Linked DNA regions of Yarrowia lipolytica. The protein of the gene in region 1 interacts with the protein of each later gene in a biochemical or structural test. Links are inferred from orthologs where the notes say so. Each region holds a gene or a part of one and is shown on either strand. Other genes may lie near its edges.

Region 1 (3,328 bases):
AGACGTGATTTCCATCAGTATATCTTCTCATAGTATGTACTGTACCTCTGGTATCCATCTGCTAACAATTATGGTATGTACACTGTACCGTATGCTACTGAGAGCTAGTGAGTAATCTCTCTCTCTGCGCTTGATCTAGAGAATTCTCGACTCTGACATAGTTACTCACTTAATGCATGACCGTCCTATACGGTATCTTACCTGAGTAGAAGTATACCAGTTGTCAGTCACAGTGTAAGTACACTATAGGTAGCTACTACTTGTACCAAGTATGTACCAAAATGTGTAGAGCTGCACCCTGTGCCTGTAACAGTTACAACCGAGGAGCTTCAATCCTTGAACTAATCTCTAAGCTTCAAGCTAGACCAACTTCAAATTACAGAAATGGCAACCACTTCTAATATCCACCATGCCATCTCGTTCCCACTCTACAACTACTCCCGCTCATATCATTCACCATGCAAACTGTATTAACAGAACTATTTTTACAACCGTAGCGGCCGTCTCCCCTTTTTGTGGCATCCTCCATCCACTCTAGTTTCTCTTCTTGGAGTAGTCGACCTTCATAATCAGGTTGTCGAAACCATGACCATCCATGGCCTCGAGAGCAGCCTGAGCGTGTGACTTGAGTGTGTAGGTAACAAAGGCAAAGCCTCGGGGTCGGCCGGTATCTCGGTCCTTGGCAACGTAGACTCGGTTGATCATACCGTACTTGCCGAACATTCGTCGCAGATCGTCGTCTGTGGCCTCCTCCGACAGGTTGGTAACTCGGAGAGTGAGCTCGTCGTCGTCGTCGCTTCGGCCACCAGCAGCACCGCCAGGACCACCAGGACCACCAGGACCCTTGTTTCGAAGATGAGGGGGAACGTAGCCTCCAGTCTTCGCAGCGCCAGCAGGCTCGTCTCCACCAAGAGATCGACCCATGCCTCCGGCAGCTGTGGATCCACCAAGAGTCTCCTTGTAAGGACACTTCGAGGTGAAATGGGGGCCCTGACAAAGTCGACACTTGACTCCCTTGTCCTCTCCGACACGAGGGGCGGCAGCAGCTGCCTCCTCCTCCTCAACCTCCTCCTCGGGCTGATCAGACTTAAGGCCAAGCACAAAGACGATATCTTCTCCAATGGTGGTGGTCATTCGGTTGGGACCAGGAGGAGCTCCAAGCTCCTTGCCGTACTTGGTCCATTTGGATCGCTCAGCAACACAGTTGAGCACCTTCTCTGTCACGCTCTGGTTCTTGATGGTGACGGACCGCTTGTACTTCTTGCCATCATCCATTCGATGAGTCACGATGGTCTTGGTGCCATCGGCGTTCTGTGTGATCTGGGGAGTAGAAAACTCGTCGTCGTCGGCCCACTTTTCGTCCATTGTGTTCTGTCGAAAGTCTTCTGAACCTGTGTCTTGATGATGGAAGGTCTGCATATTTTTCACCAACTAAGTTACCCTGGCTTTAGAGTTGTGAGAAGGGCTAACAGTACATAAGGGATATATTGGGTAAGTAGTGGGTATTATGGATGGCAGAGACTATTTTGACACTCGCATATGGGGTTTAACAACAACCCTTCTTTTGTTATATGAAAATTCATCTCAACAGTGGTTTTGGGCTAATTTTGCACCCATCTGAGATCTAGCTTCACGTGATTCGAACTTCTCCCAGCCTGCAATGTACGAGTTTTGTAGCAATGGTTGTGTGTTCGATTCCAGGTAGCGTCATATGCAAATGTAACACTGTCCAGCTATATACAGCAACTGTGGGGAAAATAAATGTCTTGGATACTTGTACCGGTACTTGTGATGCCGTAAATTATCTACAGGATTATGGCATATTTCTCCCGGCCCCTCGACGAGATCTATATGTAAAGTACAGTTCTCGTAGTTGTAAGACGAGATTGGTGATCTGAAGAGTAAACTGCGATCACCCCGTTGTACAGTATGTACAAGCACAGCCAGGACACCACGTGTAGGTTACTGTAGCTACATTACAGGAAGTACGTACCTACAGTTTGTCCAGCAGAAGAATGTCTCTTGTGTCATGTGAAGCAAAACGTCGGAAGTGAAGCAGTTCTAGAACTATTGCTGCCTCGATTTTGGGTCTACAGTAATTGGCGTAAATTCAAAAGTGAGGTAGGTACTGGATTATACCGCCCTTATAAATCGTCTCAAGTCAGATTTATGAAGTCTACTGCTCCGATATCGTCAGTTGACCCTCCGATCCACACGCATACCTGCACATGGACTGTTCTTGTGTGTCCAAGTAGCCTTTTGATGGATACGAGCAGCAAGGTTGGCAATCGATTGTGAGTCTAGAGGAGATAAGAATCCAAAGTTTGTTAAGCGAAGCAAGGTAACCACGTACGCAATGATCAGGGTGTGAGTGGGAGGAGTGGCTACTATATTACCTCCTAGGCCCTGGCGGGGACGGTTTTCTACTAAGAATCAGGGACGGGTTCAACGGCTGGGCTGTCTCAGAGCAAGGTCTCTGTTGCCTCCCCCGGTGATCATCATCAGCCTTGGGGAGAGGGAGTCGCGTGCAGAGGAACAATGGGCTGACTTGCCACGTGCACGAGAGGCTCCGACGTAACATACGGCACAGTACAAGAACCGATAATATCTACCCCGCTGCTGCCTTCTCCTCACCGCGGATTTAATTGCTGATACGGCAATATACTCGTACTGGAGGCTGCATGGTCCACTTTTTGTCTCTTACGGTGGGTACATCATTTTCTTAGAGAACCATCGGCACTAAATGGGAAGTCTAAGCTTCGGACAGCGAGAGGGTGACCATGGAGGGCTAGCAAAGAGTGATAAATAGTGCTGAAGATGTTACTTTCCTGTACATTTCGATAATGAACCAACAGACTGTTTATACTTAGAACGACACATGATCTGAGAACAAAAAACCGCACTGTGACGGCTGGAACTGCGGATGTGTTTTAGGTCTCAAAGTTGGAATTCCATCTGGACGCGCCGCACAAAACCAAGCGCCTTTTAGCTCTTGAGCTGAGCTAGTCTGGCATAAACTGTTTAGCTGCGCCCCGCTGGAACAGCTATACAAGACTTGCGAGACCCATAGGTCTGGACAATGGCAGCTATACGAGAATATGTGGGGTCGCTTCTGAACAACGCCACGGGCGGCAGCGCTAACAACTCCAACTCCGGCATCAACAGCGCGCCTGACAGCGCAGGCACTTCTCCGAAAAAACATTCCTTGGCGTTGCCCCATACTCCGCCAACAGGCACTTCAAGAGCCGCCTCTCACTCGTCGGCATTCAATTCCGCCTCCGACGAGGCCGACGACAACGTGCAGTTTCGTGACATTCACCCGGCCGCT
Region 2 (3,280 bases), on another chromosome or scaffold:
GTATTATTTTTTCCGATTTTACCCAATTTAATACGAATTAATACGAATTAATTAATAATTATGGATAATCCCCTTTAATTGAAATTAAACCTACTCCCAACCGCTTCAGACACGGCTTTCCGAACCGGTGAGTTTGTTGAGTGAAGCGAAGTGGATCCGAATCTTCAAGTAGGATGAATGATAAATAGATCAACCTGTCACTTTGTAAAATGATAAAGTGAGTCCTTCCGAGTAGAATGCACTTTTCGGATTTTCCACACCTGCTCTACATCACGAGATATCAACCCACCCATGCACAACCCCGCAACTGTATGCTCTCCCCAAAGTTAATCCGTCGGATCAACTGTGGTGGAGCCAACACTAACAAGCTACCAATACGATATAAGGGTTAGTTCCCGCTCTCCTTCATCATCATCTCTCCATCAATGTCTGTCAACGCCACGTCTCTCTCTTCATTCAACGCCAACCACGAGCTCTACGACAAGGCTCGGCCTTCGTTCCAGCAGGATGCCGTCAAGTGGCTGATTGACACTGCTGGGCTGCACAAGGGCTCCAAGGTGGTGGAACTGGCCGTGGGCACCGGCAAGTTCACCAAGTCGATCATCAACAATGGCTATGATCTGGTTGCGGTCGAGCCCAGCGAGGGAATGCTGACCTCCTTCAAGAAGAACTTCCCCCAGGTCGAAGCCAAGATCGGATCATCCTACGAGACTGGCATTGAAGACCAATGGGCCGATGCTGTCATTGTGGCGCAGGCATACCATTGGTTTGCCGACCACAAGTCGCTTGAGGAGCTGCATCGAATTACCAAGCCTGGAGGAAAGCTCGTGTTCATTTGGAACATTGAGGTGCTAGACAAGCTGTCTCCGTCTCATTGGCAGAAGATCTCCACCGAAAAGGTGTGGTCATACGACGTCAACGTTCCGCAGTACCGCCATGACAAGTGGCAGGATTCTTTCAAGAACCAGACGTGGTTCAAGATGCCCTACCAGGAAAAGATTCTGCCCTACCAGCTGAGTTACTCGGACGAGGACATGTGGAACTACTGGGAGTCTCGCAGTTATATCACTGCTTTGGACGGGCCTGAGAAGGCCAAACTGAAGGAGTTCATCGAGGGTGTTGTTTCCAAGGCTCCCAAGGAAGAAAGAGATTCTGAGGGCAAGCTGGTGGCCGACCGAGGTACTCATGTGGTTGTTGCCACGCGAGTATAAACGAGTAAGAGTACAGTACGAGGAGAAGATTGAAGTACTAAAGTGAACAACTGAGTAATGAGAAAGTATGTGCTCCATCATTGAGGTATTTGAACAAGTAGCTAAGCATAGCTTGCCAGGGCGGTCATGGGCGATCAACGTATCAGCAAGACTTGTGTTTTAGTTCAATTCTAGCTGCATGTTCTTTATGAACGAGCATTGTATTTAGATAGTCTACCTTTAGACTGTGTATATTTTCAATTTATTTTAAATTTTTTAAATTTCTAATTTTTCGTTTTTTTCATCCTTGTTACGGGTATGAGAGGAATTTCGACGGAAAAAAGAAACGCAATAAATGAATTATTGTGACTGATTTGGCCACAAATGGACATCTGATGCTCTTAACGCGCTCGATGCAATCCCTCGGGTCCCTCTGAGTTGCTGCGCTTACTCAGCCAAATTTAAGTTCCAACACTGACATAAAAAAAGCGATGAAAAATCTCTTACCAACACACCATCACAATGCGACCTATTCTACTGCAAGGCCACGAGCGACCCCTGACCCAGCTCAAGTACAACCGGGAGGGCGATCTGCTCTTCTCCGTCGCCCGAGACAAGACCATCTGCGTGTGGTACTCTCACAACGGCGAGCGACTAGGCACTCTCGAGGGTTCTGGAGGAGCCAACTTTTCTGTGGATGCTGATCCCACCACCACCATTGTGGCGACTGGCTCTGCTGACCAGACTGCGCGTCTGTGGGACATCAAGACCGGCAAGACGATTCACAGCTGGAACTTCAAGACCACCGTCAAGCGTGTAGAGTTTTCCCCTGATGGAACCAAGCTCATTGTTCTGTCTGAGAAGATGATGGGTTACCCCGGTGGCATTTCCGTGTTCAACGTCAAGGCCGACGTGAACGCCACCCAGGAGACGGAGCCTATTATGGATATTAAGCCCGAGGAGGGCGCCGACAAGTTTTCGTTTGCCGTGTGGTCGTACGGAGGCAAGTACATCATCACAGCCCACGCTGACGGCTCTCTGTCCAAGTACGACGGAGCCACCGGCGAGTTCATTGCTTCCACACAGATCCACGAGGAGAAGTTCCCCATCACCGATCTGCAGCCTTCGCCAGACAAGACCTACGTCATCACCAGTTCCAAGGACAAGACCGCTAGACTGACAGACGTGGACTCTCTCAAGCTGCTCAAGACCTACAAGACCGATACTTCCATGAACTCGGCATGCATCACCAGCAAGAAGGACTTTGTCATTCTGGGAGGAGGACAGGACGCCAAGGATGTTACCACCACCTCTTCTCGAGATGGTAAGTTTGAGGCCCGATTCTACCACAAGATCTTTGAGGACGAGGTTGGCCGAGTCAAGGGCCATTTCGGTCCCCTCAACTGTGTCGTTGCCCACCCCAATGGCGGCTCCTACGCCTCTGGAGGAGAGGAGGGATACATCCGAATCCACCACTTTGACCCCTCCTACTTTGACTTCACCTACGATGTCGAGCGGTTTGCTGCTAAGGAGTAAATGGTAGGTGTTATAGATGGATAAAAAAGAAAGGTCTGCGAAGCCAGCTCTTTAGTATGTAAGAGAATGAGATAAAGAAAAGCCTGCAAGAATGTACAATGAGAAATTTGACGAAGATGTTAGCTGTTGTGGATGACTGGTGCTGAAACTCGACAAAGATAGATATAGAAACGAGAGTCGAATGCAGTGTCTAGTGTAGCTCTGATTGAAGGCAAGTTGACTAGAAGCTACAAATAGCTAAGGTCAGAAGACTGTCGCAGGGTACAATCAACTGTGTGAAAGGTCAAGAAACGATTCCACTTAGTATTTGAGGTGTATTTGCTGTGATATACACATATACTATCGTTGGTGATGAAGAAACTCATAAACAGGAGAGAATAGCAATATAAAACATCTTCTTGCCATAAACTTGCATCATGAGACACACGTTGGTGCACACACTACCCACTCATATCTGTATATGTATCTTTTATATGTATAGCGACGACCGAAACAACAGTCCAACTCGTGACTGGGGTTCGTTCTTACTCTGTGAAATCACATCCTCCTAGTTC

Evidence for each region.
Region 2: the proteins of YALI1_E04613g (region 1) and YALI1_A03183g form a complex in vitro, tested with the Saccharomyces cerevisiae proteins (4 studies listed by BioGRID, with this or other methods). The link is inferred for Yarrowia lipolytica from reciprocal best matches to the Saccharomyces cerevisiae genes TIF35 and TIF34.

Annotation. Positions count from the first base shown.
Region 1 is NC_090774.1:459,919-463,246, forward strand, and holds YALI1_E04613g (uncharacterized protein), read right to left. Parts: upstream 1,420-3,328; coding exon 535-1,419; downstream 1-534. Other genes in the region: YALI1_E04629g (uncharacterized protein), read left to right, coding at 3,080-3,328. UniProt on the Saccharomyces cerevisiae protein: RNA-binding component of the eukaryotic translation initiation factor 3 (eIF-3) complex, which is involved in protein synthesis of a specialized repertoire of mRNAs and, together with other initiation factors, stimulates binding of mRNA and methionyl-tRNAi to the 40S ribosome.
Region 2 is NC_090770.1:316,651-319,930, forward strand, and holds YALI1_A03183g (uncharacterized protein), read left to right. Parts: upstream 1-1,712; coding exon 1,713-2,726; downstream 2,727-3,280. Other genes in the region: YALI1_A03170g (uncharacterized protein), read left to right, coding at 426-1,211. UniProt on the Saccharomyces cerevisiae protein: Component of the eukaryotic translation initiation factor 3 (eIF-3) complex, which is involved in protein synthesis of a specialized repertoire of mRNAs and, together with other initiation factors, stimulates binding of mRNA and methionyl-tRNAi to the 40S ribosome.